Caenorhabditis elegans: one gene and its partner. The protein of the gene in region 1 purifies or fractionates together with the protein of each later gene. This does not show direct contact. Each region holds a gene or a part of one and is shown on either strand. Other genes may lie near its edges. The genes, in order: wago-1 and rde-12.

Region 1 (16,423 bases):
ATTCCTCATTGGTCAACGATTCTCCACAAGAACCAAACTCGGCAAATCGGTCAAACAGTACTTTGAGCTCCTGAAATAGTTGTTTTCGATTATTTATCTTGATTTCGTGCCAACCATTCTCCGTTTCTCGGTAAGAAGTCCCTTGGGGCAGATTTTTGTATCAATCAGTCGATTTGCAATGTATACAATCCACATGAGATTCGTTCGCCTCGAAAATTTCTTCCAATTGCTCCTGAAATGTTTGATTTTTTTCTATTTCCTAAGGAATATATTACTCACTTGCAATTCTTTCTCATTTCTCGATATACTTCGAATTGTGGATCATCTTGTCCCTCGAAAATTGCTGGGTCGTTTTCCAAGTCCCAATAGACAGTTGTCGCACCTAAAATTAGAATTTTTTTTCAAAAATTGGCGATTTCTCTGAATATAGACAAACCTTTGGAAATTCGGCTCAATGTGAAATCAATAATATTGACTTTAATTCCATGGGTACTTAATGGTACTTTCTGCCCATGAACAGTGTAATAAAGCTCTTTCACGCCATTCCGATCAATCAGTACATTACCAAGATGTAAGTCTCTGTGTTCAAATTCGAGAGCTGCTTCTGCTGCATTCATTGAAAGAACGAGTTGGTGAATGATCGAAAAGAGTTCATTTTCACTTTCAAGGACAAAATCTTCCAGTGCGATTCCACCATTTGCCGAAACGAAAAGAATAAAGTTTTGATCTATTGAAGAATACACATCTGGCCTTGTATTCTCGGATTCTTTCAATTTGTCGTATGAATCCCAGGCACTCAACAATCCTTTAGGATACTTCCCCATCACAACTTCGGCAGAAATCATTTCGATGAAATTTGGAGTAGAATTCCAAGCATCTTCATCTCTCAAAGCCGATAGTTCCTTCATTACGATAACTTCAGGCAGAACGACATCGGATGTTTGCATTTCCTCAGAATGATATTCACCGAAATATTGCCGATTGCATCCATCTTTTTCAAATGGGACGATTTTGATAGCAACCGGTTTACCATCCCATATTGTTGAGAAGACTTCACCGTAGGCTCCTTCGCCGAGTTTCTTAACTCTTCGACCATCGAGAGCCGACTTCGGTAGACTATCCCACGTTTTTGATTCTTTTTGACCAACAACATGAAGGAGCTGCATCATCGGTGATGGATCGATTTCCGAAGTTAGATCTTCCAAGTAGAATGGGAGTATCGACGGATCTTCATTATGAATCGTCATACCAGTAGGAATATTTCTAGATTCTGCACGAGATTCTGAATATTGAGTTTTTCCAAACTCTTCTCCCATCGTGTCTTCTAAAAATTGTTGTAAGCTCATCTCCTCCATGGCACTATTTATGGAATCGTGACGAGATGAAGCTGCAGACATTACTGAAAGTCGTGAGACACGAGATTCTCTGTCACGTTGCCTTTGTTGGGGTTGAAGAGTTGTTCTTTTTCTTATTTCATTCTCTTTTTCAATTTCGAATAAAGCTTCTAGATCGTCTTGATCATCCTGCATCGTCATCACAGTGCTCATGCCTTGACACATTGTCTCCGGGCTCTTTGTTCTTTGTCGCTTTTTCGAATATTTGCTTTCTTCGAGATTTAGATCTGAGCATCGTTCATGCTCATCCTCCTCGTGCAATAGTTCCGTAACAGACGTTTCAGCTTTTCGGTTAAAAGTGACATCTTCAACATCTTCTGAGTCTGAGACCTGCTGGGTCATGATTTTTGAATTTTGGTGACTTTCGTTCCGGGACTCGATTGGCGTGGTTTTCAGTGTAGAATGTGAGAGACGATTTTCGGAGATTGCAGTTTCTTCAAGATCTTGCTGTGGTTGTTGTATACTTCCAGCCAATGATGATTCTACAAAGACAACGGATTAGGAATAAATATTTAATTGGTTTGTGAGAATTGTGAATACATTTTTTTGCACTGTGGAAAACTTTTTTAGGGCTTATAAAATTCTAAATAGAGTTTTAAAATAGAAAATATTAGAAAATGAGTAATATTGAAATTACCATGAACTCTTCCACTGTATTCCTCTTCGATCGGGATATTGTTGATGGTAGTCTCTTTTTGATCAGAATTTGCAGATTTTTGTGCGATTTGTTCTTCTTTTTTCGTGATATTCTCGCAAGAATCATTGAGGGAAACATCTGAAACAATTTTTTAAAATTAATTTTCAGTGTAACTATTGACTATGACTTTTTAAAATGAAAGACATAATCTATAGCAAAGTTATATAAATGTTTAAAAAAATACCAAATACTGGGAAGCTTTTGGGTCTTCTTCCAGCTGTCTGCTTTTCAATCGGAGTACTCGCATTCTGAGTTTTCGGCGAGAAGACAATGCTTCCGATCGTGTCGTCTAGTTGCTTCGCCGTTTTGTTCACACGAATCGGGGTGTCTAAAAAAGGTTAATGAATTTGAAAATAATTTCCAGTTTTCAAAAGTACAGCTATAAATAGCGAGACGCTCATCCTGACACTGGACATGTTTCGCCGGCACGATCATCTTCGATCTTTGAGGTGTGCCAAATACCCTGAACAATGATGGAGCTGCCAAAGATGCTTCTGAAATAATGAAAATTGCTAAATATCAAGTTGAAAAATGTGACTAACTTTTGTTTTGTCTCATATGATCTGCTAGAATTGAACCGCAAAATGATGCATAATTTGTTGGACACTGAACTTGGTTTGCTTTGGAATTCATCTCTGGAACCTGCTTAACTGGTTTTTTTTGTCTTTGTTCCATTTTCTTCGCGAAATCTATTTTCTTTGCTGGCTCTGAAATTATAATTAATAAACCTTTTGATGTTTTCTGGACTAACTATTCATCATTGGGAAATTTCCATCGTGATATTCTCGAATACCTGGCCGCCATGCTTCTTCAGGCTGCTTATCGTGAATAATATGTTTTCCATTTTCTATTTTTACTCTAATTCCATCATTATTGAAGACTTCGAGAGAAACATCATCCAATGAATCAAATGCTTCCTTCTGAAAAAATTAGATTATTTTCAAAACTCGAACATTCAAATGTTATTTTTGCATTCACTCCACGTTTACAACGTTAAAAGGAGTAAACAAAATACTAACGATTTTCTTAATTTTTTCTTCTTCATCAGCATCTGCATCAGGCACTTTAAATTGTCCAGCATCTTCCTCATCACTTGATATTTCGACATCACTGACATTTGGAGATGGTGGGAACACTGGTTTTGGCTTATTCTTCTTTTTGCTTCTGAAGAAATTTTAAATTTTGTTACTTTGAAAACAATTTTTAACATACGGTTTGAACTCTGGATTATCATTAAACGACTTAAACAGCGCCGGATTTTTTGAAAACTCATATTCAGGAAAGTCGATCGGGCATTCTGTGATAATTACGCTTGACAATTGACGATTTCGTCGGGCAAAATTATTTCGAGCTTTTTTCCCGGGCGATATTGGCACTTTTATTCGGGGTTTAGGAGGCATTCTGCAAAAAAAAGTGGAAATTGATTAAAACGTTATATAATGTAGCGCAAAATGCAAAGAGTTGGTTTGAAACAATAAATAACGCGCCGAAAATATAAATGAAAGTGCGCTCTACGGAGAACACTGGTATTCCATAACAAAAAAACAAAAAAAATAAAATTTCCATGTATTGGTTTTTTGAAAATTTTCCCAATCTAAAACTTTGTTCAAAACCAAAAAAGCGAAAGAAATATTATTTTGGTGATCCCGATTTTTCAAACTTAAAACTGAAATAAGTTTTATGATTTTTATGGGTTTAAGGAGACTACAACAACATTGCACGTACAACTTAACATAACAACAGGCTACATTCTATAATCTGCACTCAACAACAACAACAAAAAATCAATTTCCACGTAGGTCAAAACAATAATAGGGCAACGGGGGAAAATGAAATTAGCAGTTACACCACTTACTATTAGATACGCATTGTATGTAACGCAAAAACAAGAATGACAGGGTGGGATACAAATAAAAAATCATGGTATGCTTCTCACAAACTAGAAGTTGGAATTGAAAATACTACAATTTGATTGAATTATTAGTGCTGAAGCATTGACACGACGGTCGATCAGGAAGCCGGATTCCTTGTATTTGATGCTATCGGTAATCTGCTTCATACGAGCTGCCTCTGGTCCAGAAACTTCGGGAATTGCATCCGCAATGCTGCAAAAATATTTTAATATCAACTGTTGTCATTTTCTTAAACTCACATGGCTTCATTCCACAAATTACGACCACTCTTCGCGTACTCATTTGCAACATACATTGGTGTTGGAAAAAAAAGAAGTTGGAAGTCTGACAATTTGGTGAAGGTGGCACAATGGAAGTGAAATACACGTTCGAGCAATTCGTCATTTTCCGAGATTAAAAAAAAAAGGATTTGAAGAGGTAGATTTTCCTTGAATAAAAAAATCGTTATTGTCGATAACAGGAGAACTGACAAGTTTCAGTTCAAGGGAATTGATTCTAAAATAGAAAAAAAATGTTAAATTTAATCTCGTGCAGAAACTACTTACAAATTTCGAAGCTTCTTGTTCTCGCGTTCAGTATCTTGAAGCTTCTTTCGATTATTTTCCTCAAAATTGGCTAGCTTCGACAGTTGGCATGTGATTTCCTGTGTCCTTTTCTCTGTTTTCGCCGTTTGATCTTTTAGCATCACCGACTGAAATAAAACTTTTTCTTCTGCATGAAACAAGTGCAAAAAATTACCTTTTATTTTTCGTTTTCCTAATAAATTGAATTCTGAATACTTTAAAAACCAATAATTCTGGTGAGACGTTTGAGAATATCTGTACTTTTTACAGTCACGTCGCGAATCGGGATGTACAGCGCTGAACATTTTCCGCACATTTTCGGCAGATTTCCATCTATTTTAAGAGTTTTCGTAGGGACCTTACACAAATAACAAAATCCAGCAGTCTGCGTTGTTCGACAAGATGTGAGAGCAGGTGGTGATGTAAAATTGCCTTCTTGCTGGCGGGAATCCACATAGGTTGCAAACGATTAACTTCATTGCGATCTAAGCTACAAGCCTGAATTAGATGAGTATCATTCAAAATAAAATTAACAACTAAGTCACTTTTTAAAACATGGAAAGCACACAATACTTGTAAAAAGGAGAAAAATAAGGCTGTACAGCAAAAATAAATTCAAGGAGCGTTCGTTTTAACACTGAGTGGGTCTCGCAGCGATCTCCATTCTTATGTACTGTATGCGTTGTCATTTAAATTTTTTAGGACGAAGAAATTGTTTTTTGTATTCTTTTCCGGTTTGTGACAGTTTTCAATAATTTTTGTTAATTTTCAAGATTATTTTTATATTTTAATAATAATCTAGTTACAAAATCTTAAGAAACTTGCTCGTTGAATCTTAAAAATGTAAAAGTGATCTACATTTGATCTAGCCGCCAATTATCGGATTCTGTATTCTTGCGTCATTAATAATGATGATTTTGTACAAATCTAGTCGTTATTTGTTTTTATGCCGCCTCTGAAACACCGAAAAATCTCGAATCATTATTCTTTTTCGTCGGCAATACGAAAATTCCGTAGTTTGCCCTTTCTTCATAACGTACCATTTTCGTTCTAGATTGATCTCTTGAAGAAAACTGATTTATTTGTTTAAACTATTGTTAAATATCTCACAAATTCATAATTTTCTATAGATGTTCTCCAATCTCGCTTATTCGGTGCAGAATATTATTTATATAAGCTTTTTTCAGAACTAATATTGCAATAGTAATAAGATGTCTCCTCATCCACCACAACCGCATCCACCGATGCCTCCAATGCCACCAGTCACTGCTCCACCAGGAGCTATGACTCCAATGCCTCCAGTTCCAGCCGATGCTCAAAAGCTTCACCAAAGCACTGGCAACGACGCATGCATCAAGCGTTTACAACAGTTAAACGTATGTTTATCAGCATTCAAAGATCTTTCTAATGCCATATTTGCAGGTTGAGGATGGTGCGAAAATGTACATGAAGCCAACCGAACCTGGAAAAATGGGCAGACCAGTGGACATCCAAACCAATGTCTTCGGAATTGAAGTCACAAAGGAAACCACAGTTCATCGTTTTATGGTTCACGCAAAGGCCGATTTGACTTCAACAAAGGAAGTGACTTTCACTAAAAAAGGAAAGGAGGACTTCGTCGTTCAGGATCGTCGCGATAAGTGTTGCAACATCTTTTTCCTTGCGGTTGAGAAGAACCCGGAATTCTTCAAAATGAAGGATGGGAATCAGATTGTATATGACGGTCAATCAACTCTCTACACGACGGTCAACTTGTTCTCAGAACTGGATGCCAACGGTACGAAGTCCAAAGTCTTCCAAATCAACGGAGCTGATACCGGCAATGACGACCTTAAGACCCTGCCTTGCATTTCTCTCGAGATTTATGCCCCAAGGGACAACTCTATCACGCTCTCTTCTGAAAATCTGGGCAAGCGTACTGCGGATCAAAACATTGAAGTAAACAATCGAGAATACACTCAATTCTTGGAACTTGCTCTGAATCAACATTGCGTGAGAGAAACGTAAGTGAATTTCGAAAATTATTAAAAGCATCGCTTCATTTTAGAAATCGTTTCGGATGCTTCGAGCACGGAAAAGTATATTTCCTCAACGCCACCGAAGAAGGATTCGATCAACGAGACTGTGTCGACGTAGGAGACGGAAAACAACTTTATCCTGGCCTCAAGAAGACGATTCAATTCATCGAGGGTCCTTATGGTCGCGGACAGAACAATCCATCTCTCGTGATTGATGGTATGAAAGCTGCTTTCCACAAAGAGCAAACTGTGATCCAAAAACTGTTCGACATCACGGGACAAGATCCTTCAAATGGACTCAATAATATGACCCGTGAGAAGGCTGCGGCAGTGATTAAAGGACTTGATTGCTATTCGACTTATACCAACAGAAAGCGCCATCTAAGAATCGAAGGTATCTTTCACGAAAGTGCCACAAAGACCAGATTTGAGTTGCCCGATGGAAAAACTTGTTCAATCGCCGAGTACTATGCGGACAAATACAAGATCAGTCTACAGTATCCGAACGCCAATTTGGTGGTTTGTAAGGATCGAGGCAACAACAATTACTTCCCGGCTGAACTGATGACTGTGTCCAGAAATCAACGTGTCACCATTCCTCAGCAAACGGGAAATCAATCTCAAAAGACAACGAAGGAGTGCGCGGTTCTTCCGGATGTCCGTCAGCGAATGATCATCACTGGTAAAAATGCTGTCAACATTACACTCGAAAACGAGTTGCTCGTCGCTCTTGGAATCAAGGTTTACTCGGAGCCTCTGATGGTTAGTTTGTGTAAATTGTAAAAAAATATATTTGTTTTCTTTTTCCAGGTCCAAGCACGTGAGCTTGATGGAAAAGAACTTGTATACCAGAGATCGGTAATGTCGGATATGGGAAAATGGCGTGCGCCTCCAGGATGGTTTGTGAAGCCTGCGACTGTTCCTGATTTGTGGGCTGCTTACGCTGTTGGAAATCCAGGTTGCAGATTCTCCATTGGAGATGTCAAGTAAGACAAATAGAAATTTACATGAATCAATTCAATTCTTAAGCCAACTCGTCGGAATGTTCATTGATTCTTGCAAGAAGAAAGGCATGGTGATCAAGCCACCATGTGAAACAGGACTTTACAGTACGGAAAAAATTATGACTCAGCTGGAAAAAGTGGCTGCGAGTAAGTGCAAGTATGTCTTGATGATCACTGATGACGCAATCGTTCACCTCCACAGTAAGTTTTCCTTAAGTTTTCATGGTTCATTGAAAATTTCAGAGCAGTACAAAGCCTTGGAACAGAGAACAATGATGATCGTCCAGGATATGAAAATTTCCAAAGCCAATGCCGTTGTCAAAGATGGGAAGAGATTGACGTTGGAGAACATCATCAACAAAACTAACGTGAAGTTAGGTGGTCTTAACTACACTGTTTCGGATGCAAAGAAGAGCATGACCGACGAACAATTGATCATCGGAGTTGGCGTTTCCGCACCACCGGCTGGAACGAAGTACATGATGGATAACAAGGGACATCTTAATCCACAAATCATTGGCTTCGCTTCAAATGCTGTTGCAAATCACGAGTTTGTCGGCGATTTCGTTTTGGCTCCCTCCGGACAGGACGTAAATAATTAATGTGTTCGAGTTAACAACATGGTAATTTTTACAGACAATGGCATCAATTGAAGACGTGTTGCAAAATTCAATCGATTTGTTCGAAAAGAACCGCAAAGCGTTGCCAAAAAGAATCATCATTTATAGAAGTGGTGCATCGGAGGGTTCTCACGCTTCTATTCTGGCTTATGAAATCCCATTAGCCCGAGCTATTATCCATGGTTACTCGAAAGAAATCAAATTGATTTTCATCGTCGTCACTAAGGAGCACAGTTACCGATTCTTCCGTGATCAGGTAAATTTGTTTTATTATTCTCTTTACGCTAACTTTTCAGCTTCGTTCGGGCGGCAAAGCCACTGAAATGAATATTCCTCCGGGCATTGTCTTGGATAACGCTGTCACGAATCCGGCATGTAAGCAGTTCTTCCTGAACGGTCACACGACTCTTCAAGGAACAGCAAAGACACCATTGTACACTGTTCTTGCTGACGACTGCAAAGCTCCAATGGACCGCCTGGAGGAGCTGACCTTCACTTTGTGTCATCATCACCAAATTGTTTCCCTGAGCACGTCGATTCCCACTCCACTTTATGTGGCAAATGAGTATGCAAAGCGTGGAAGAGATCTCTGGGGTGAACTAACGTAGGTTTTTTTTGTTTAAAACAAAAATTTATTTATATTTTGCAGGACTAAAGGACCAATTGAAGCAAAGGAGTCGCAAGGCGAGCGCCTCAAGGAACTTACAAAGGAAATCGGCTACAAACAAACCGATCTCAATCAGAAGCGCGTCAATGCATAGATTTGGAGCTATGCCACATACACTTGATGTTTTACCTAGGATAATAATTTTACGGTCACCTAGGATAATAATTTTACGGTTTTTCCGCTAGTTTTATTGTAATTTTTTAGTCAAATGTTTTATATTTTTGTAATGTGGTTCTGTGTGACCCGTAGTAATTAAACTCGGTATGATAAAAGTTTTAGGCTGATAATATTTTTCAAAGATTTGCTTTGTGCGTAAAAGTTCGAGGCGATGTTTTTTGAGGATCTTCAAGTGAAAACGAAGATTGTCTGATAATGAGGGGGAATTTTGTTCGATTTTTTTTTGAAATTGGAACATTAAACATTTCTAGAGCTGCTTCCAAGTCAATTGACTAGTCGACTAAATATTACTTTTTGGTTGTAATCTCAATATTGAACAAACAATTTATTCACGTTTTTAACTCAAAATGGTAATTCGAAAGTTAATCAGAACAAGAAAAGTAATAAATAAAAAAGCAATTTCATTCAAGCCTTTCAACTATCCTTGGTTGAATTTTCTGTTCCCTTTTCTCGTGAGTTGAAAAAACGAATGGTGAATTCGCAAGAAGGGGAATAAATTTCCCAGATCCGGGAACTGTTTGAAGTTTTCCGTGAGCCCATACAATTCGCCCTCTGTAATAGATTGTGGTTAATGTTGTGCCATTGAGAGAATATGTCTGAATACAAGAATCAAACATTTTTAGATTATTTTTTTTTTTTTGCATTGGCCGCCTTCAAAAATTAAGACGATAAAATGAGCGTGCGGAAACCTTCTTCCAACCATGTACGAAATGCTATTATGGGAACACAAAATTTTGAGAATGCGTATTGCACAACATACTTGGCGCGCAAAATATCTCGTAGCGAAAACTACAGTAATTCTTTAAATGACTACTGTAGCGCTTACGGACATCATTTAATAAATAATCGATCAAATATTAGAAGAAAACTTAAAAGCTACAAAATATCGTTGTCACTATTCGAAAAGAAATTCATTTCAAAAATCGAGCCCGTAAATCGACACAAGCGCTACAGTTGTAATTTAAAGAATTACAGGAGTTTTCGCTAAGTGATATTTTGCGCGTCAAATATGTTGTGCAATACGCATTCTCAGAATTTTTTGTTCCCGTATTACAATTGCTTTATACTTCATATTAAGATACAATGTTTAAATCTGAACCTAAAATCCTATAAGTTGCGGTACTTATATATTTAGTATATTTGTACAGTAACCCCCCTTCGAATTTTCGCATATTTTTATTCAAAAATTGTAATTAAATCTAAAGTTTCGTTGCATTTTTAGACTTACAGAACCACTTTTTTCTAGTCCTAATATTGTTGAAAAAATATGTCGGTGAAATTTTGAAATGTTTAAAGGTTTTTGTGTACGGGTACTACATATTAGACAACTGCCGATGTCACACTTCAAAAATACTTTGCATTATCAAATATATTGTTGTTTGTTCTGAAAAACGCAAAGATTCAAAAGTGTCGACGGATATAATATAAAAACTGACTATATCTCTGAAAAAAACTCCGAAATAAAGGTTCAACGGAAATTGGTATATTTTAACATATGCTTGATAAGAACCAAAACTTCGGCATCTAGGCTATTAACTAATTTTGTCTAGACAAATCTCACCGAGAAATAGTAACTTCGGCAACTCCGTGACAGTTGATTCCTTCAAAAATGTTGAAATCGAGGTTCTGAAAAAGTTTGATAGAAAAAGGGGAAAGATAGATCATAACTAAAACAATTGTCATAGATTTCTTCTTAAAAATTAGTTGAAAAAAAGATAATTATCAAATTCCAATATAATTCAAATTTAAAACCAACATGATGATGTGTGTCCTTTGAAATAGTTCTAGTGGCATTTGGATTGAAAATTACAATATCTGCATCGGAACCAACTGCAATTCTTCCCTTTCTTGGATAAATATTAAAAATTTTTGCAGCTGTTGAACTGGTTATTGAGACATATCTCATTGGATCAATTATTCCAGAATGTACCCCTTTTTCCCATACAACTGACATTCGATCCTCGACACCATTGATTCCATTTGGAATTTTTGTGAAGTTTCCTCTGGAAATTAAATGTTTCTTTTTATAAAGACACAATAATATAAAAACTCACTTTCCAAGAGATTTTTGCCTGCAATCATATGTGCAATTGTCTGTTCCTGTCAGGTGAAGTTCCCCGCTGAAATTATTATGATTACTGTTTTTAAATTGAATTGAATTGAGTTAAAAGAAAAAAAAACTGTTTGATTTGTACAAAGCCGGGATTTTGGTGATTTCTTATCTTATGTGCTTGATTTCTTTTTTGAATATTGCAAAAAAAATTGGGAAAAATTGCACTTGTAAGGGGTTAGGTGTAGGATAAACAATCTGGAAAGTTTGGTAACTTTAAATTTATTTTTAAAAAATATGAAAATCTTTTGATCAAGTTGGATGAAAATATTTTTCAGACGTTTTCAAAAGATGAAAAAGTTCCAAAAATCTTTCAGAACTTTGGTCTACTTCTGAACACCCTGAAAATGTCAAAAATACTATAAGAGATTTTGGAGCAATTCTACAAGCCTCAAAAGTATCTCAAAAATACACTTAAAAAATTCCAGATAATTTGTTACAAGATATATAAACGTACGCCGCAAGTAATTTCATAAGTAATTCAGGTGTAGTTGGATCTCTGCTTAATGGTGGAGACATGACATATCTTGCAGCATGGAGCCAATCTTCATTATAATAATGTGATCCATCAAGAGCTAATCCAGCAGCTATTGGCTCTCCAAAAACAATGGAACCTTGAGCTCGGTGATGGGAAATTGCTGATGCGGCTCCTTTTGTCATTACATGAACGATATAAACTGGACAATTAGCTTGAGCAGCCAAAACGCAAGCTCTATTGGTGGCTTCTGCTTCAATCTGAAAATCTCCGTAATCGCTTTGACTGATCTCATCTAACAAATGCCATTATTTTTTAATTGTATTTCTTATATGCTCTGTATAACGATTAAATTCAAATGTGAACCGGAGGTGTATGCACTCAAAAATGTTTTTTAATTCGACAAATTGGTAATCTAAAATTTCTTATAAAAATAATAGTACGGTTGAAACATATTAAATTGCTTCAAATCTCTTGAAAAGCAACTTTGTCAATTTACCAAAATTTGTCTGAACAATTTCAAATTCTAAAAAGAATTTTGAAGTGTTTAATTATGATATTCAGATATTTTTGGAATGTTATAGGTGTATTCAGTTATACCACTTGCTTTAATTAAATATGAGTTACCTCTTCTGGTCTACTCTGTGTATGTCCTTCAGGCCCAGTAACTCCTTTTGCCAATAAATCAATTTCCTTTTCTTTAATCACTGAACCATTTTCACAATGAACTCTTGCCAATGCTCTAAGTTTTGCACATTCTTGCATTCCTCTGAATAATTCATCATCTCTGACCATTAGTGTGTTCTCATAAGCCATGTAGAATTTGAACGAATTAACTCCTTTAAATAAATTAAATTTGAAGATTTTTGTTTTTTTGAAAATTTATATTTTCAGAATCTAATTATATTCAAACTTACCAAATTCTGGACTTGTAATAATTGCCATTTGTTCAGCAGTTTCTGGTCTCCACATTGTGATAGCAACTGATAAACCATAATCACAACACACTTTTGGATCTGCCCAACTTCTCCATCTATTGTAACCAGCAATCAATGACTCCCCATTTCTATGATCCGGACAACAGAAATCAATTATCTGAAATTTAACCTTTTCTATTCATTTGATCTTCAGATTTTCTAAACCCGCCAGTTGATGGGAGAAATATGACCTTGGCAAAATGTGAGTGTGATTTATCACTTGGTTAACAAGGATATTTAATATAATAATGATCTATGTTATAATTCGATTACTTTAATTTCAAAAACAGAAACGCGAAATTATAAAAAGAAGGATTTTTGCTGACTTTAAAAATAAATAAAATTGTCAAAAAAAAACCTTCAAGTTTCTGTACTTCGAAGTGTTCTATATCTTTTGATGTCTATACAATACAATAATTAGAAATAAATTTTGAAAGCATTTTATTATTTATTCTTGTTCGCGGGTTTGAAGAAAATCTGAAAACTAGATGAAAGTGGGCATCCGTCTTTTTCGAAGTCTTCAAAAAAAAACGGTTGTTCAATTTAAACGGATACTAATAAAATCTTGGATCCTAGAATAAACATTTTTGTTTAATGGGCACAACGGTTTGCCGCATTTCCTGAATAGACCCTCAATTTTGTAGGCAGGTAGGCAGTCACATCTATGCGATGAGCTTATAATTTAATCAGTAAGTCATCTCACCATTGTAGTTCCTCCAGCAACTGCTGCTTCTGTTCCTTTCAAAAAATCATCTTTTGTCACTTCTCCCATATATGGCATTTGCATATGTGTATGAGGATCAATACCTCCAGGAATCACAAGACGATCTGTTGCATCAATTACTTCTGTATCTGGTAGAGCAGTTATATTTGGAGATACTTCTCTGAAATCGTTTTTTTTTTCAAAAATTATTTGGTAGAATCAACTTATTGGCGGATTTCGATTGGGGGGTTTTTTTTTAAATTAAGACCTCTACTAACTAACTTATGTCTCAAATGTTTAGTATATTGCCAAATATTCAAAAAGAAATTGGGGTTTTCACAAGAAATTTGTAGCAAAGAGCAAACGTCTACAGTGTTCTGAAACAAATAATTAAATCATAATTGAAATTAAAAATCGTAGAACACTTTTCAGTTGAATACCAAAATTATGATAGATGAAAACTTAGATATTAGAAAGAAATTGATACTTTTTTAGATTAAAAATTCAAGAATAGTTTCTAAAAAATGTTGAAAAGTTTTCCTATTTGAGCGTTATAGGAATAATCATTTTCCTCAGAGGCGCAAATCCATCTTCAAGAAAGAGATACCTAGATAAACTGAATTACAGTATATTTATTTTATCACTATCACCTAATTAATTTAACTACTTAACTTAACTACAGTTTTTACACGCATTCTTCTTGTTTGAACTTACACAATAATTCCATTTCTAACAAGAACATCAGCTTTAAACATTCCATCTTCATTGACGACAGTTCCATTCTTGATAACAAGTGGTGGGGACATTTCCGAATCTCTTAAATTAGACAAAAAATGAATTTTCTTGACGAAACACAAAAAACTTTGAAAATGAAAAAAGAAATCTTGATTTTGGGTGGAAGGAGGAGACTGATTGATAATAATAGTTGTGATAAGAAAGATAAAAGAAGAAGACGTACCCGGGGCGTGTGATGATAACGTACCCAGATTGATATAGACGATGTTAAAATCACGTTTCTTTAATCGGAAGTGAGAAGAAACCATATGGCATGATTGAAGATGGTACGGTTAGTCTGTCCAGTTTTTGTTCAAAGTTTTAGAAATTATTTGGTAAATTAGACTAATTGACAAACAACAACTGAAATATTCGCCGATTGTGATGACTTGTTGAGAAAGATGTGTGATCAACGTGCTGGAGTCTTCACAATGAGCATGTTCTACACATATGCCATCCGTGCCGCTCTTTTCTATTTAAAGCTTAAGCTTCAATGTCTGAACGAGAATGGAAATGAGGATGCTCTGACAAAGGTCCCTTTCCTGACAAAGAAAACTAAATAGCTCTGTATTTCAATTTTTCTTTCCTACAAAGAATCTTTTACTGTCTCGATTGTTTATTGAAAGCATCCGTTGCACTTCAAACTCAATACTTCAAAATTCGTGAAATTTGAAGTATTAACTTTGAAGTTGTAATTAAACCTTTCCACTCCCAAATCCAAGATAATCGTTTTCAAAAGAAAATTTTATTCAAGGTAGAATTATATATGAAAATATCCCCTTTTTGGTCTCGCCACGAGTTTCTTCAAATTTCAAATGAAGCCTGCTAGACAGTCTGCGCCTTTAAGAAGTACCGTAGTTTCCATGGATCGTTGTTTCGCAATTGTTATGGCTTATTTTCCCGTTTTTTCTTTATTCTTCATAACTTCATGGTATTTTTTAACACAATTAGTTGACCAAAAATAAAGAAAAAACGAGAAAAAATAGATTCAACATGAACTGAATAAATATTTAAATTTAAATTAATTTTCACCGTTTCATCTTCACAGTATGAAATTCTAGAATTCGAATACTATGTTTAAAAATTATTTCGGAACGTATTTTTTATTTCTATGTAGAAAATACCGTACTAGACCTGTATGACTAACAAATTTCTTACTAATTTTCAGTTTGATCTACCCCGCTTAATGAGCGAATTTTGGTTGTTATTGTTTTCAATGATTTCGATTTTTACTTCACAATCGCATTCCAACAAATCAGTCTTCACTAAAGATGCGTTTTGTGTTCATCATTGCTTTGCTGCTCATTGGAGGTTTGTTTTTCACTTGTATTTTGAAATTAAATTAATTGTAACAAATTGCAGCATCTCTCGCTCACCCAGCCGATCCGATCCGTGCCAAACGTGATGTTTCCGCCAGTGAAGATGAGTTCAGCGGAGATTCATCTGGAGAAATTTCTGGCGAGAGTTCTGGTGAAGCATCTGGTGAAGCCTCGGGAGAAGCATCTGGTGAAGCCTCGGGAGAAGCATCTGGCGAATCATCTGGTGAAACTTCCGGCGAGAGTTCAGGAGATGAGGAAACTTCCGGCGAAGGATCTGGTGAAGAAGGATCCGGTGATACATCACCAGTCGTTCCTGTCGACGAACTCACTCTTCAACAGTTGGAGACACTCAACACGTATGCTCAACAAGTTCAAGCTGAATCACAGAAGCTCATTCACCAAGCTAACTTCGTCATCACTGAGGTTAGTTTCTCGACCCCTTTTAATTCAATATTTTAAATCTTTCAGATGACTGCTCTCTCTGCTAACGCTCAAAACCTCGGAATCCTCTCGAACATCGTGCTTGCCAACTCTCAGATGGTTCTCGACAGTGCTCGTCTTTCACTCAATGAAACTGAAACCGAAACCGGAACATCTGCACCAGCTACTTGCGTCTCATCTGCTGTCTGCTATGGAGATTCTGGATGTGGAAGTGGAAAATGCATTGGAGCTCTTGCCGGAACTTGCAACTGTAACTCCTGTGTCTTTGGATGGCCGTAAGTTTTCAATTTATTTCGCAGCAGATTTTAAAATATTATTATTTCAGATGCCAAGAGGACAGTGCTTGCGGAGGATTCAACGGTGCTTGCAACAGCATTACCGCTACTTGCGATTGTTTTGCTGCCTACACCAAGAACAATCTCACTCTGGCCGAAGCCCTCACTTCGTTCTGCAACGTGGAGACGTGCAATGGAGCCGAAGACAATGTCGAGAAGTGCCACGGATTGCCATGCAACTATGGATTCTGTGTTTGCTAATTGACCCCATCTTATCGGCTTTTTTTTATTTTGCC
Region 2 (16,901 bases), on another chromosome or scaffold:
TGGGGGCCGCATCACGAATTCAAATAGGATGTGATGAATGGAAAAAAGAGAAAGTGCGCGAAATCGGCGGAGCAGGCTGGCTGAACTGCAACAGCTGTTGAACCGACAACGCCATTTATCACGGACAGCGTCTTCCTTTGAAATGGAAACATAACCAGGTCACTGATGACACATTGAACGTGTCAATGCTCCGCCCTTCACCTTTTCGCCTTGAAACATGTTGTTTCCATCTGATGATAAAAATGGAGAGATTGAAGTGTTACCATAGCTCAAATTCAGAACCTTCAGGAACATAAGAAAATCATTCCAAACATCTAACATCATTTTAATTACTATGCAACTTATGAAAGAAAAATGTTACATTGTGTTCATTTGAAGTGGAAGAAGGTGACGAACAGTCAAAACATGAAATGAAACGTGATCTAGATATGACAATGGTCATTAGAGTGACGAATTTTGGAACACACGACTTTCAAACATGATCGGATAAACGGACTGAAACTCTTTTCAGATCTTTTGAAACCATTTTTACGCAACTTTCAGCATGCAATGCACCCATAAATATTAATGACTTTCAGTCGGGGGCTATCCATCTCACGTGGTTTTCAAATACAAAGAACCAATACGCCGTAGACAAGCACGTTATGTACTTTTTGGCAAATTGCCAACTACACAATGTCGCACTCTCTCTTGACTTTATCGGTCTAAAATACGGAACACATTCTCCCATACCACGTGGTGTTTCAGACCACGCGGTCGCTCGTCGCCACACACGCTTTCGCATACATTTCCATCCGTTTTCCGTTTTTTTTTCAATTTCTTCTCCCTTTCCGTCATGGCGCCATCATTGATCATGTGATGAGCGGGAAATTGAAAAGTGCAACAGTGTTTGAAAATTGGTTTTATGGGAAACGAACGGCGGTCGAAAAATTGATTTAGCCGAGTTGAAAAATTAGATTTAATTTTGAAAATTCGCAAAAATCGTGGATAAAAGACAACGAACGGAAAAATGACACCCGACACTCTTCACAAGGAAAATAGTTATTACGATATATATTTTTTAATCTGAACGAAGTCAAAGTGAATTAATCTGACCAAATATACTTAGATGAGCTGTAAATATTTCAGCATTTTAGAAACAACCAGAACCATTTTCTATTAATGTTTGTCGTGATTTTGAAATTTATCAAATTCGTAATAGAAAAATAACTATATTTCTTGGTTTTTAATCTAGATAATTTTACTTTTACTTAAAAGTAAACGAGATGGTATGAACTTGATAACGAAAACCAAAGATATCAACGTGGTAGGTGGTGTGATAAGCTATCGCGAAAGTTTGCCATGATCACGTTTTAGGACGGACTTTCTTTTATACAAATTGGCTATTGAAAGAACGAGTGATGATGAATCAACTGGTGTCAAAAAATCAGGAGATCGACCAGACATCTGGCCACTTTTTTGTGAGTGTCTACGAGAAGATGAGGTTTGGTGTAAGCTGATATCACTGGGAGGCTGGAAACAAAAACAAGACAAGGTTACGTTAATCGTGTTTTAAGGGAATTTTCAAAAATATTAGGAAACTTCTGAAGCTAGATAGTAACACAAAAGGATGAAAACACTTGCCAAAAAAGCCGAATGTCAAGGTATGAAAAATCAAAAACAAAACAAAAAACCTAACTCAACGTTCGCTAAAATTTCTGCACAGCTATATTTACGTTTGCTTTGTTTTTCTATTTTCTCTATAACAGTCAGCAGGAAAGAGCAGAGTTATTGAAGACGGGAGAGATGCTCAAATGGCTCATTCAAACGGCTTTGATCACTGGGAAACGACTGATCAATGACGTCACTTTTCCGTTCGGAACGTTCCGCTCGGATTGCTCCGCATTGTCTCTTTCGTTGTCTTTATTTATCAAACATCAGCATTTTTGGCATCGATTATGGCTTTTAGCTTCTAATTATCGCCTATTTCATTTAATTCGAACTGATACTAACAAAACACGTGTTCGGTTACTCAATAATCTACTCTTCCAAACTATTTGTTTGATTTTCGGACCCGAAATCGAAAGTTTTCAGTTTTCAACGCGTGATTAGAGAAAATGATGATGGGATTGCGAACAAGAGCACATACTAGAACAATAGGAGCTTAAAAATTGGAAAAAACGTTTGGGAAATTCAATTTATAAGGAAAAATTTCGAAAATATACTAAAAAAGAAAAAGACAAGAACGAAAAAAACAAAAATGTTTGGAGAATTTCGAAAGTGATTACGGTATAATTTAAAGGCGCGTAGTAGAATTTACATAATTGGGTCCCGCAGGGAAAGCGATGAGACGGTATTTGAATGCGCCTTTAAATTGTTTGTTATATTTTTGATGGCACAGCTTTCGTTTTTTCTCTCTAAATTCGAGTTTTCTTCGTAATTATTCCAAATATCTATATCTATCTATGTTCCATATTTGTAAAATAATTCTTAAACTTATTTATAATGTTTTTTTCAAGTACGAAGACGTTCAGGGATGAGGTTATATAACTGTTATTCATAAGCCAATTTAGTTGAAAAAAAAACGTTGTGCTTTTTTTTATTCCATTTCTGTTATTACTATTCAAAAACACAGATTGTGAGAAATACAATAATTGTTTTTTTTTAACACAGCATATATTGATTTTCTCGAGAAATTGAGTGTTTGAGAGCTTCAGATGACTCTTAAATTATTTTAATAAGTGATTTCCCTCTGTTAAACATCAGTAGTTTGATCTCTGACCACCTTCATAGAACACTCACCACAGGGCGACCGAAATGCGCTCCATTGCGAAAAAATGTTTTGTTCGCAGAGTACCCGTTGCCAAATTTTGTTTTTTGTTTGTTACTTTCGTACTCGTGGCTTCCGATCATCAGAACCTGTTTAAAAATACATTATTGATTTATCTATGATGTACTCATAAAATTATTGATTTCTATCAGTGAACGTGCACCCTTTTTCAATTTTAAAATAAAAAAACACCTTTCACGGAAACAGTTTCCAATTTTTTATTAAAATTTGCTAACTGGCTTATGGGATCGTCATATTTTCAACCTATCGAAAATTTTAAGCCTTAAAAGTTTTAACTCCCGATTGCGAAATCTCTCACTCTTCAAATTTCATCTTTTCTCTTTCAAAGACAATTTTGCGTCATTTCATATCTCTCACTTTGCCCATTTTACTTTTAATAATATTTAAACTTTTATTTTTCAGATAATCAAGTAAGAATACGTGGAAATAATAATGAGTCTACGTTACGCATCAAATGCTTACCACATAGGACGATATGCGCAGAGACTTTTCGCTACTGGTCAAAGAAATCGGGTATTCCATCAATATATTGCATCTACCTCACTACAAACAACAAGTCTGAGGTAATTTTTAAATTTCCCAACTCGAAAAAAAGTAAATCGTAACATTTAATTTATTTCAGGTATGCATCAACAGACAGAAGCAAAGTGGAGTATACATTGAAAATGCTACGAGAAGACGTTCAGAAACAAGACGAAGAAGCACAAAAAGTCTTGAGTCTCATGAAATCAGATAAAGACGTCGCCACAGTGAAGCCACCGCTGAAAGACAGAATTATACACGAGCTGAAGCATTACTATCATGGATTTAGGTTGCTCGCTCTGGAAACGCGTGTCAGTGCGAAATATCTGTGGACAGTGCTCCGAGGAGCAACTTTGTCACGTCGTGAGCGTCAACAACTGGTTCGAACAGTTTCGGATCTATTTCGTCTCGTTCCATTCTCATTTTTCATCATTGTTCCATTTATGGAGTTGGCGCTTCCTATTTTTATCAAATTATTCCCAGGAATGTTGCCAAGTACATTCCAGGAGAGTAGCAAGGAGGTTCGTTATTTTTCTCTAAATTTCAATTTTTAACATCCGATTTTTCAGGAAGAAAAATGGCGAAAGCAAGTGAAACTTCGTGTTGAAATGGCGAAATTTTTGCAAGACACGATTGAAGAGATTGGACTGGAAAGAAAAACGAGAAACAAGGAATCCACTCGATCTCTGGAATTTGCCCTTTTTATCAAGAAAGTTCGCAATGAAGGTGGATATGTGTCCAATGAAGAACTTCTCAAATTCTCGAAACTGTTCGAAGACGAAATAACACTCGACAATCTTAGTATGGGACAGCTCCGATCACTTTGTCGTTTAATGAGCATCAACTCGCTAGGATCGCCTGAAATTCTTAGATTCCAGTTAAATATGAAGATTCGAGAACTCAAGGCCGATGACAAGCAGATTGCCGCAGAAGGAGGTGTTGATGCGCTGAGCTCCATCGACTTGCAGTCGGCGTGTCGTGCGCGTGGAATGAGAGCTATCGGAGTCAGTGAAGAACGATTGAAAGAACAATTAGTGCAGTGGCTGGAGCTTTCATTGAATGATAAAGTTCCGCCGGCCCTTCTTTTGTTGTCCAGGTAATCTTTTTTCCGAAGTTATCGAATTGAAAGTTACGAATTTATTTTCAGAACGCTATATCTTCCCGAAGAAGTTTCATTCCCTGATCGTCTCAAAGCTATCGTTCAAAATCTGCCAGATGGACTTGCCGAGACCACAAAACAGAAGCTAACAGAAATGGAAGGAGGACAAATTGATCACAAAGCTCGTATCGAGTTGATCAGATCTATCGAATCTGCGATCGCTAATGAAAAGAAGGATGAAGAAAAGAAGAAGAAGGCTGCAGAAGAAGCTTTGAAATCGAAAGAGGAAGCCGAAAAGGCCAAAGTTCAAGAGAAGGAGAAGTTGGTTGATGTGGCTGCTCAAGCAATTGTCCATGAGCTCAAAAAAGATATTTATGACGCTGTAGCATCAACATCTTCTACAACAGAAGCGAAGGAGCCTGCTGCGAAGCCTTCAGAAGCTAAAGAAGAAAAGAAAGAAGATATCACTGTGGACAAGAAAGATCTTTCCCATATTGAGGAGATCATTGTCGGTGGACCCATCAAAGAAGCTAAACACGATATTCTTGGACTACGCGAAAAGGTTCTTGAGCACAAGGAAGATCTCATGGAAATCAATTCTCTAGATGGTGCATTCGCTGAAACAAAGATTGCGAAACGTTTGCGTCACAAGCTCAATTCAATGATCGAAGATGTCGATTCGATGGTGGATAAGCTCGAAGATGAGAAGAGGAATATTCGTGAAATGCTCATTGATCCAACCGTGGAGAACAGCGTTGATTTGAAAAAAGAACGCGAAGTTCGTATTCAGGATGTTATCGATTCTTTGGCAAAGTTGAAAGAAAGTAAAGGAGAACAAGCTGATGATGGAGAACAACGTGAGAGAATTGAGGCTCTCTTGAAGACAATCGATGAGGATTCCGATGGAATTGTCGATAAGCAGCTAGTCTTGGAAGTTATCGAACTTCTTGAAAAACATACAGATGTTCACGTATCGGCAGCTCAAATGGCGTCCATGATTGGAACACTAAAGAAAGAAGATGAAGTTGCTGGATTAACTGAGGAGATCAGAAAAGTTCAATCCGGAAATTATCAGATGCCGATTTTGCCAACGGTATTCCCAGAATTAAAGCAATGCTTCAACCTCAACAAATAAATTTCAGGGTCCATCATCTGCGGATGCATTCAATCAACCACAGGGAGTGTACACGGCATCAAAGCAAGTTCCAGCGAGAAGTGAACAAGAGGGAGTGGAGCAAAAGCAACAGGTAGAGAATGGACCAGTGGGCATTCCCGATGTCGATACAAAGGTACATATACCTGATCGTTTTAGAATCTCTATAGAATTTTAAAATTATTGTGTTCAAATCACCAAAAGAATATTAATTCCTTGATTAAAATGATTTTTTCCAGGTCACATCCACACTGCAACAAAATTCCTCCAAGACGTCGTCTTCTTCGACGACGAAGAGCACATCCGACTCGAAATCAGCCTAGAAAGTCATAGCTTCAAATTTTTGTGTTAATATATATTTTGCATTTCTTAATTGTTTTCAATCTTTGTATTTTCTGTAACCTAAATATTTTTCATTTTCCCCCGCGCGCTCTACACTCTGAATACCGGTGTCTCCTCCTTCCACTCTCGTACCCGCCAAAAATAGTCACCTCCCGATTGAATACTATTCTCGTTTCTGCTCTCGAATAATGGATTCTTTTTCTCTTTTTTCTTCACATTTAATTCTCACAAATTTACTTTTTATGAAGTGAAAATCTTTATTTTAATTTCTTTAATGTTTTATTCAAAACTGGTTATCGCTTTTTCTGTGATATCCAATTAATACTACGTTTTTATTTGAAACCAAATGTTTTAAAGGCCCGAAATATGTTGGTAAATTTTTGGTTGTTTCCGAAAAACCAAAATTTTCTATCAGTTTCATTCATTCAAAATTTAAAAATCTAAATCCTAATCCTCAATGGCTGAAGTGTGATTTTTTGAACTATTATTATTAGTTAACGATGTCGAAATTCCAAAACACGAGCTATTCAGAGGAAGAACAATTTCCGGCTGATGATCGATTTATGCGCCAGTGACGCTTATTGGCGCATTTCAAAATTTGAGATTATAGCGCGCGAACAATTCCACGTTTCAATTTCTTGCAGCAATCCACTCTCATTTCAAGCGTATATTTTCCGATTTTTCCTCTAATATCGAAAACTCTTCTCCGCGTGTTCCCTGGTTTCTCATTTCCTCTCCCTTTGCTCATTCTTAAATAATGCTTTCCGCTTTGACACATTTTTATCAATTTAATCATTTCCGACGTGAAAGCACAGTAAAGTTTTCAATTTTCTTGCGGGTTGCATTTTGGGCAGTGGGAATGAAATTCAAAAAATAATTCTTTAAATATTCACAATTTCGTTGATTTAATTTTTATATTACTAAGCCAAAAAAACAATCTTCACTGTATTTCTCGCATTCCCAATTTTAGGAAATATTTGCTTACGTGGTTTTTCTCCCTCAATTAAAAAAAAACATTTAAAAAATTGTCAATTTGTCCATCAATCAATATGTTTTGTACAACAATGTTGCACCTAATTATAAACAATCTGATGTGGCCTGTATGATGGATACTGTGCAACATTCACTTTTTACTGCCTCAATGCCCCCTCCTATCACTGTTGTAAAAGTTTCATTCGCTATGACGAGAACACAAGAAGTGTAGACGTGAGGGCAAATAATAGACGCAGATGACCAGTCGTGTTTCTCTGTTCGCCTCTTTTCCCTCGTTTTTTGCACCACGTCCACTCGCACACTCTCCTCATGTTTCTAGATGATACCATTAGTTTTACACCAATTTTTCTTCAAAAAATTGGATTTCTAGCAATATTTGATTTCTCTTTAAAACTGCAAGCTAAATATCTCCATCTATTTTTTTTTCAGAACTATGTCGAGCTTTGGCAACAATGCCGGCGGAGGAGGTCGTGAATATCACGACGATCGTTCAAACCGTGATCATCGGCACGGAAATGGTGGATCGGATGCAGGACAAAGGCGCCGTGAAGATCATAACTCGAGTTATCAATCTTATCGTCGTCCAGATGGGAGACAGGATTCATACGGAGGTGGGCATCAAGGAAATCACGGAAACAGCTACGGAAGACGTGAGGATGATCGTTCTCGTGGGGAGTTCGAATGAAAGTGTTATTTTAATAATTTCTCTAAAACTCCAGATTCTCGCGATAACCACGGTGGAAGCCGCTATGGGGAACGGGATGATCGTGGCAACAACGGACGAAGTGCGGATAATCGCTACTCTCAAAGCAATTATAACTACGACAGCAACCGTGGTGGCCAACATTATCAGCGAGACAATCACGGATCAAAAGATGATCGTGGACCAATGAACCAATACAACGATCATGGTTCTAATCATAATTCCAATAGCAGAAACGACCAGTATCGTCAGGGATCTTACCAAGGCGATGGTCACTCCGGCTATCGCAGAGACGATGATCGTCGTCGTAACGACAATGACCAGGCTAGACCATATCAATCGAATAGAGATTCTGACAGAAGTATGTTTCTTTGAAAATCTTGATGCTAATTTATCTCCAATTTTCAGACTCACCACGCGACCACCACAACTACAACAGCCAAAGTTCTCCGCGAAGCCATCAGGGTGGACAAGATCGCTACAGTGCTCCAAAAGAAGACAATCAGCGACGCTACGACAACCACCAGGGAGGCCACGATTCCTACCGTGGTCAGAATTCTGGTGGCTACAGTGGAAATAACAGCGGAGAATACAGAAACGACTACCGCTCTCAACAAGATTCCCGCGATCATCGTTCTGGAGGCAATAACAGTTCCAGTGGTTTCAAAAACGATGGTGGATTTGGGGGCAATGACAATCGTGGATTCGGAAACAATGGCGGTGGCAGTTTTGGAAACCCGAACAACTCTTATCGAGGAAATTCCAATAATATCGGCGGATTCCACCGTAGCGATGGTAGTAATTCTGAAGGTGTCAATGCACCGGTAAGAGCCCCACGTGACTGGGTTCCAGTAACACGAGATATCGATGAGTTGGTTCGAGAAACTGCGGACCGTCTAGCAGATTGTGATGTAGGCCAAGATCGTGCTGTTGAGATTCGCAATGCCGAAAAAGATGTCCGTCTCACGTCATGGACGAATTCTGGTCTTCACCCAACAATACTCGAGACGCTGAAGCGTATAAAATATAATAATGTTCGAACAATCCAAGGAGCAATGATTCCACAAGTTCTCGATGGCCACGACGTGTTGGGACAGGCGGAAACCAGCGCTGGAAAGACAGCGGCGTTCGGATTACCGATTATTGATAAAATTTTGAGAATGGATGAGGAGACTCGCAACAAGGCTCGTCAAGACGATGGACCACTTGCCCTCATTCTTGCTCCAACCCGTGAATTGGCAGCCCAAATTCACGAAGCTCTCCGTACATATTGCCAAAATACGGATATCATTGTTCTCTTATCATACGGACAGTCGGATCGTGCTCGATCGCTCAATGAAATCAGGAATGGATGTGATATTCTTATTGGAACCTGTGGCCGCATTATGGATTTCACCGTAAAAAGTCACATCAGTCTGTTGCATCTGAGGTTCCTCGTCTTCGATGAGGCAGATCGTCTTTTACAAGATATGAAAAAGGATCCATTGGGACATCTTGGAGCAATTATCAAAGACGCTGGCTTCATGGAGTCTGCTGCTACTCGACAAACTATCATGACATCAGCAACTTTTAACGCGAGTGTCATGACTGTCGCAAATGAACTGATGAAACGATTGCCTGGTCAAGATGAGATGATTAAAATCGTTCTAGCTAATGGACGCTTGAGCAAACGCGTTAACCTGGAGTTCTTCGAATGTAAGGGTCTTGCAGAGAAGAACGCGAAGCTCAGGGAGATTCTTAAACAGAACGGTAAGTAAGATGGCCACTCGAAAGTTACAGTATTCGTGGCATCGGGTCAAAATCGGAATTTCAATAGTCCGATGTTTCAATTTTCAGTTAACGGTAAAACTCTCAAGACGATAATTTTTGTTCAAAAGAAGGATCAATGCGATGCGTGTGCCGCAAAACTGACATCCGGAGGAATGCTAGCTCAAACTTTGCACGGGTATGTCTTCTGTCATTTTTTTTATATTTATAACGCCGAATTTCGTCATGAGACGTTGTGAAAATCTCCCAAGTTTTGGAAAAATTCCTATGGCCAACTTACATATATTTAGTTGGATCAAATATGTGCAGTCATTGACTGAAGAAGCATCTTAATAAACGAGACACTGTGATAATTAAATTATCAAAATATGCAATAAGAAGGTGTAAATCATGCTGACAAGTTGGCAAATTTTGAGATTTTATTGTTCACTTTCTTTTTGAAAAAACCATTTTGATTCTAATAATGCAAATATCTATTAACAATTTCCAGTGATCGATCCCAAGACATGCGTGAAAAGTTGATCAATGACTTCAAAAGCAACCGAGTAAACTTGCTCGTCACCACTGATCTTTTATCGCGAGGAATTGATGTGTCAGATTTGGATCGAGTTATCAACTTTGACCTTCCTGACGGAGACCCTGATCAGGGAGCTGACACGTTCATTCATCGCGCTGGAAGAACTGGTAGAACTGGAAGAAAGGAAAATGGTCTCTGCGTTTCGTTTGTAGATCCTCAGTCTGATCGAGATAGTTTATTGGCACCGAAACTCGTCGAGCTTATTATATCGCAGAATCTCCCGGATCTCAAAGTTCCAGATTTCTTGGACGCGATGGCAAAATCCAGTAAGTGGTATTTAGAAAATATCTGTGAAATTATTATTTATGTCTCAATTTTTAAAAACATGATTTCAGGCCGTGGAAAGAGTGGAACTAGCGGTTTTGGTCAGCGAGGTGGATACGGAGGAAGAGGTGGAGGCTTCGGTGGCACTGGTAGAGGAAGAGGTGGTGGTGTCTTCGGTGGCGGAGGAAGAGGCGGAGACTTCGGAGGTTCCGGCAATTTTGGTGGATCCGGCGGTGGTGGCAGTTTTGGAGGATCTGGTGGAGGCGGCGGCTTCGGAGGCGTAAAACCCAGCGGATTTGGCGGATCTAGAAACAATGCCGAGCCTACATCATCCGGGGGAGGTTTTGGTGCTCCAAAAGCACCAACTGGATTCCCATCAGACAACAATGATGCATCTGAAGATGCACCAGCCGCCGGCGGTTTTGGCTTTTCTACGAAAGCTGCCCAAGATGCGAAAAAAGCTGAAGAGAGTGCCACTCTGGGAAGTTCAACATTTGGAACAGCTAATAATGCCGACGAGGAACCAACTGAAACCGGAGGTGAGAATATTATTTTCTATACGTTACTATTTTATATGAAACTTTCTTTTCAGCCGATGGCAACGACGACGACGAGTGGTAAAATCTACGCGACGTCGTCATTATTATTTGATCTCGAGAGATCTTTTGTTTAATAGAAACATTTCGAGACATCGCTTCACACCATTCTATCGTATTTTCGTAATTATCAATTCTGGCATGATCAATCAGTCAATTGAACATGGTGATTTATGTGATGTCTCGAAAATTTTCAAATTCACGACACCGCATTCTTTTATTTGTTTTGTAAATCTTCTGTTAAGTATTGTTTCCGATCCCGATATTTACTTACTCGTATTCCGTATTCCACCGTATCCCCGTACCTTATTTTGACTATCTATTTCTTTATGAATTTTGTATTCAGTACCTATTAAATACAGTTCTGAATTTTTTAACGGGGAATTTTGTTTAAAATAAATCTCAATGTTGGAAATGTAATTGTTTCAACTAGGGAGTACAAGAACAGCGTTATAAGTATTTAGAAGGAAGTATTCTTGAGAAAAATAATTTATTTTGGACGTTAAAGCGGAAAGTCAATTCTACATGATAATAAACCAAGGGACTTATTCTCCATTTAATTGTGAATAGAGAAAACGATACATTTAAAAATTTTTAAAAAGATTGTCGGCACTAGTATTTAGTGTGATAAAAACGAAAATAGCGAAAATGGTTCAAAATTCAGATATAAATACTAACGAAAAATATTCAAAAAAAACATAAATATTATAAAATACGTGTCAGGAGCACTGCTTCAACTACGCCTGGGAGATGTTCGGCGAGAAATCGGAGTTCAGCGACGGTGGAAACGAGGACGCTGACGAATGGCATAATACAACACGAGAACGAGGCCGTATTTTCACACCCGCTCCTTTTGACATTGGTGGCAGCAAGACGGTAAACGGTTTGGGTGGACTCTTCTGAAAATTTAATATATTAACAAGAGTTTTCTTCTTATATACTTTACCTCGACTTTCTGAACGACTTGAGCACCCCAGCCATCATCTGAAACATTGCTGGCTGCATGCGAAGAAGAGCCCATGCCGAGACGAGGTGAAGGTGAAGGTTCTGGCTGCTCATTGAAAGCTTCTTGCTCTACCTATAACAATATAAGTAAAATGAGAGAGGACAACAATTTATACCTGTTCTCGTTGTCTCCTAACTTCAGCGAGAGCCTGTCCAAGGGTTCTAACTGGAACCACTTTCTTGACACATTGATTAGGATTTACCCTGACACGTTGAAGGTTGATTGATGAACTTGGGCGCTGCACTTGAGCAACAACATTTAAGCTGGCACGGCTTGCCATATTTCTTTGGACTTCAAGATTTTGTTGCATCAGAGCTTTCGCACGTGCATCAATCATTTGTGGAAAAGCTTTCAGCGATGCATAAACATTGACTAACATGACATCAGTCTTCTTCAAAGCTTTGAGTTGCAGAAGCTCTTTTGAATCGTATTTCAGGCCTTCTTCGTTCAGCTTTTCCGGGACAACGGTTGAAGAAGAGGAAATTGAAAGGACTGATGGAACTGATTGTCGACCGAAGATACAAGAAGTGCTCTGCACTCTTTCAACGATAGAATCAGCTTTCACGGAGCTTGGAGCGTTGCCGAATCTCTTTGTGACAATTTCTCGGTGATTTTTTGGAATAAATGGCATCATGTCACTTTTGCTTGCTTCCTTTTTGCTCTTTCTGGCATTCAAAGTAAGACCTGAAAATATTCTTTGTTAAAATATAAGGAATTTTAATAACTCACCGTCCAGAGACTTAGAGATTGAAGCCAGGTCAGCTTTCGGCTTTGAGTTAGGATCCTGGTATCTAAACCCTTGTGATATTGGTAGCTGAGCAACAGTTGTAGCTTCAACTTTGCGAGAAGGCAACTCAAGCACCGATTTGGTTGTTGTTCCTTGATCAGCTAGCCACTTTTCCCTCAACGAAACTTCTCCATCAATAACTTGTAGAAACTCTTTGAATGTTGTCTTGGCCATAAGCATCCAGCTTTTGCTGAACAACAATAGTGGATCTACGGGTGCACCGAATTCCCTCTCATAGAGTTCTGTCATCTCGGAGAGCTGAAATTAAATACTTATACGAGAGTACAACTAAACTTTTAACTTACGTGAACAGAAGCTGGAAGCTCCTTCACCATCATACGCTTCGTATTATTCATGAACTCCGTGATGGTTGGCATATGAGACGAGCTTGAAGATGTTTTAATTTGCACATGCTTCTTGACAGGTGATCGACTTCCACTACGAAGAATGAAGATTGGAATCGAAGACGCAGTTGATGGGCGCATGAGAGGGCGCTGAATGGATGGAGCTACAGGCGGATTTGTTGGATTCGCATTTGAGCCACTCGACTTTCCAAACGTAGAATCATGATTTCCTGTTCCGAAGGATTGGATTGCCGAGGAAGTGGATGCTTTAGATGACGACAACACCGAGAAAGGACGAGAAGGTTGCCCGAAGTTTTGGAATAACTGAAAAATTCTCTTGACATTTAAATCTTTCTATACATCTTTTAGAACCTTTTTAGACGCTGCTTTTCCAAAGGAAGCATACGAACGAGGGCGACAACTGGAATATCGTGGCGATCTCGACAGCTCTCCTCCAAACATAGATCGTTGATGATATCCAGCAGAAGATGACGAACGTCTTCCTCTTTTTGAAGAACCTTTATTCCTAGGTCCGTCGCTCTGCTTCGAGATCAAATCCACAAGATCCTGATTGTCCTCGTTTGCGCTAAAATATTAGTTTTGACAGGTTAGAAACGCGAACGATAAATCGGAACGTACATGATCTTGAATTTTCCCTCGTAAGTTTGCCGTACATCCGGATGCTCGATCAGAATTTGAGCCATGTCGTAAACACCAGCCAAGTGATATTTCGAGCAGTAGTCATATCCTAATGTGTCGCTGAAAATTACAGTAAATTTAAATTCACACCACTCGGATCAACTAACTCCATTCTTTGCTCGACCTGCTTCGGTGAGGCTCCATCTTTGAAAGAAAGAAGAACACTATAAGCGTCCCGTTCGATGCGCTTACGCATTTTGTTCATTTTTTCTTTGCCTTCTTCTTCAGACATTTTTCAGGCAAATGCTGGAAACAGTAAAACAATCAGTTGAATGACTTTAAATATTCAGAAAACGGAAATCTGAAATAACGAATACAAAAAAATGATTTAAAACTTAAAAATGTCAAAATCGTGGCAGAAGTTTCTAGAAGTGAACACGAAAACAATCCACGTACTGCGCACACCGTTCCACGCACAAATGCACATTCAGGTCTCTACCGTAGTTCAGTCCAATTCGCAGGCCTGGAAAAATTTCAAAATGCGAATACATGTTGGTTGTTGAAATTTTTTTGGATTCGACTTATAAATTAGCTTCAGTAAATATAAAACTACTTTTTAAGATATTATTTTATAGAAGGCTCATCATATTTCGTATTGTGACTGCAGTTCACCGGAAAAGTACAAAACAAATCACTCCAACCGGTATGCGTCCACTCTGATAATATTATTGAGTTTTGTGTTGGAAAATTGATCTTTCTATCAAAATTATGTAAATCTCTTCCTCTTGTTTCTTCAAACATTTGTGGTCTTCCAACGACACATCTATTTTGCGGCATTCTCTATTTCAGCTGTCAGTTGACATTTTATTAGCATCTATTATATAAAAGTTCTTAATTTTAACTGTACATGAACGTTTTTTAATAGAATCTATATAAATTTTCAGTCAAAAAATGCGAATAATCATTGAGACTTCTTGGGATGTGGTATATCTTTGTGGATACTTTTCATTAGTTGTCTACTTTCAATATGCCATTTTTACCACTATTATGTATACTTATATGACAAAAGTATGTGAATATATATTTTTCAAAATTTTATCGGAAAATCAATTTTTAAAATGTTTTAATTAAAATAAAGTAATTCAGTATGTGCCAGAAAAATAAATATGACCAAGCTTGCAAGAAATGGGCGGATCCTTTTTTGAAGCATTTTGTAATAAAAATGTTGATTCTTGATTCGAAACGGGCTAGACGATGTCATGAATTTGCAAGGTTTTAGAAAAATATGAATAAAATCGCAGTGAAATCTTCAAAAAGAACTAGTTTTAGAACTGCCAACTGCCAAATGAGTTATTTTTAACTTAAAAATAGTGACTTTGAAGCACTATCTCAGCAGAATGGTTTGGAGTCTAATTAGAGAGAACCCTGTCTAATCTTAATTTTCCCCAGTCTAAATAGATGAAAATCGAGTCAAATTTGAAACACGCGAAAAGCGAATCTAATTAGAAGCGGGACGAGTCAAATTAGATAAAAACCCTGTTCGATTTAGGTTCGATTAGTTCTGCTCCGCATTCCGATTAGCTTCGCTTTTCACATAATTAGACTCCAAACCATTTATCTGAGATTAAAGTTCTTTATTTCTATAAGTACATTTCAAAGTTCTATAAAAATCCTCACAATTTCAGCTCGACCCATCAGTTGGTCCTACGTCATTTGGTTTGGCAGTGACTCTTCATGGAATTGGTCATTGCCTTGGAGCACTCGCAGCAGCATGGTGGACTAAAAAACGGTATAAGGTAAATACATTAAATAGTTAAAAAACTTTTAAACAAATGTTCAGGGCAAAAAACCAATGTGTGTTGGATATCTTTTAATGTTACTTTCCAATTGTCTATTCCTCTTGGCTGATCATGTTCCAGCAGAAACTAGTGCATTCTACATTATGTTGTGTAGATTTTTAGGTGGTCTTGGAATGGGTAAGTCGTTATGATTGCTTTATTTCTAATTCAAATAGTCTCATAGCAGCTATTTTTGTATTTTTGTAACTATTTCAAAGATTTCAAACGTGGTTTTAATATTTCATTTAGCAAAATTCACACATCAAGCTTGGGTCGAATCAGAAAAAGTAAAGTGGTTCCACATTAGAAATGATAAATTGATATTCAAATTTAAAAAAAAGTATTGAACTCGCCGACTACTCCGAAAAGTAAATATATCTAGCTAATTCTCAAATTCTCTAGGAAATACGTCAACTTTACGTACAACCCTAACTGCTCATTCAATGTCCGATGATCGTGCAAAAGCAATGTCAGTATTTATTGGTGGACGTGCTCTTGGGCTCATTCTTGGTCCAGGGCTCCAATTGATTTTCTTATTTCTTGGAGATACTGGACTTCAACTTATCGGTCCATTGCATATTCATTCTCATAATGCAGCAGCGTTCATTTCAATTGTGTTAAATATATCTGCAATTGTTGCATTGTTTACAGTATATCATGAAATTGAAAGAAATGGAAATAGTTGCAGTCAGAGGAGTGTTGTAAGTGTTTTTTTCCATTTTCACGAAAAATCTCTACAGGTAAGGAAAGTAAATAATTTTTAATAATATAAAATTTTTTCGAAGTTTTCAATAAGTTTCTAAAAAAATAATAATAAAAAACTTATTCCGAATGTTAATGTGCCCTTATTACTATACTATTTTCGAAACAAAGTCTTTAAATTTTTCCGAAAGCTTCCAACAATTTTGAAGGTTCTTTTTATAATTTTAGAAGTTTTCAATAAATGTGTTCAGCATTTCAAAACTTTATAAACTTTTCCAAAAACATGTAAAACTTTTAAAAATATTCCAGGTTTTTATAAAACTCTCAAATTTTTCGGATCCCAAAATTGGATCAGCTTCTTTCCTTGTTTTTTACTCAAAAATTTTAAATTTTAATTCAGAATTTCTATAGAACCACTACAGTAACCTGGAATTATCTTCCTAACTCCAACTCGTTATCACTTCAAAAGACAACACTTTTTAGTCTAAAAACTATGAACATACGGAATAATTGATTTATATATAGTTGATGATTCCATTTTTCCATTTTAAAAAAAATTATATAAAAAATTCAGGAAGACGATGAAAATTGGCCTCGACCAGATAAACTTGCAATGTTCGTCTGCATGCTGACAAGATATTGCCAAAACTTTACATATTATGCAATTGAAACACTTGCTCCAGCATTCATGATGATGATGTTTAATATGGAAAGAGATTCTGCAGTCGGTACAATGTCC

Evidence for each region.
Region 2: the proteins of wago-1 (region 1) and rde-12 purify together in Caenorhabditis elegans (affinity purification with mass spectrometry, with the first as the bait; one study listed by BioGRID). This does not show direct contact.

What each region holds. Positions count from the first base shown.
Region 1 is NC_003279.8:7,229,630-7,246,052, forward strand, and holds wago-1 (Argonaute protein wago-1), read left to right. Parts: upstream 1-5,754; 5' UTR 5,755-5,778; coding exon 5,779-5,943; intron 5,944-5,989; coding exon 5,990-6,570; intron 6,571-6,614; coding exon 6,615-7,347; intron 7,348-7,395; coding exon 7,396-7,571; intron 7,572-7,614; coding exon 7,615-7,790; intron 7,791-7,832; coding exon 7,833-8,179; intron 8,180-8,225; coding exon 8,226-8,465; intron 8,466-8,505; coding exon 8,506-8,813; intron 8,814-8,858; coding exon 8,859-8,970; 3' UTR 8,971-9,163; downstream 9,164-16,423. Other genes in the region: hasp-1 (non-specific serine/threonine protein kinase), read right to left, coding at 1-70, 115-232, 280-382, 437-1,876, 2,032-2,169, 2,276-2,419, 2,469-2,585, 2,634-2,798 and 3 more; R06C7.2 (BEN domain-containing protein), read right to left, coding at 4,031-4,196, 4,244-4,431, 4,475-4,499, 4,550-4,872; dhp-1 (Dihydropyrimidinase 1), read right to left, coding at 9,455-9,605, 10,615-10,679, 10,810-11,056, 11,108-11,173, 11,621-11,898, 12,266-12,477, 12,556-12,733, 13,319-13,499 and 1 more; cpg-3 (Chondroitin proteoglycan 3), read left to right, coding at 15,364-15,403, 15,455-15,834, 15,880-16,127, 16,178-16,388. UniProt on the Caenorhabditis elegans protein: Argonaute protein which is involved in the endogenous small interfering RNA (endo-siRNA) pathway. Interacts with secondary 22G-RNAs, which are RNA-dependent RNA polymerase-derived endo-siRNAs, typically 22 nucleotides in length with a 5'guanosine residue.
Region 2 is NC_003283.11:13,658,029-13,674,929, forward strand, and holds rde-12 (DEAD-box ATP-dependent RNA helicase rde-12), read left to right. Parts: upstream 1-7,360; 5' UTR 7,361-7,372; coding exon 7,373-7,607; intron 7,608-7,658; coding exon 7,659-8,003; intron 8,004-8,050; coding exon 8,051-9,391; intron 9,392-9,478; coding exon 9,479-9,587; intron 9,588-9,899; coding exon 9,900-10,252; intron 10,253-10,321; coding exon 10,322-10,789; intron 10,790-10,842; coding exon 10,843-10,871; 3' UTR 10,872-11,262; downstream 11,263-16,901. Other genes in the region: letm-1 (Mitochondrial proton/calcium exchanger protein), read left to right, coding at 3,263-3,393, 3,453-3,873, 3,922-4,448, 4,500-5,544, 5,594-5,740, 5,844-5,927; mip-2 (HTH OST-type domain-containing protein), read right to left, coding at 11,584-11,745, 11,793-11,924, 11,968-12,536, 12,582-12,897, 12,945-13,307, 13,356-13,569, 13,623-13,742, 13,790-13,914; F58G11.4 (MFS domain-containing protein), read left to right, coding at 14,574-14,690, 15,308-15,418, 15,463-15,598, 15,863-16,161, 16,737-16,901. UniProt on the Caenorhabditis elegans protein: Probable ATP-dependent RNA helicase involved in RNAi-mediated gene silencing. Specifically required in the endogenous siRNA pathway for biogenesis of secondary endogenous small interfering RNA (siRNA) intermediates called 22G-RNAs.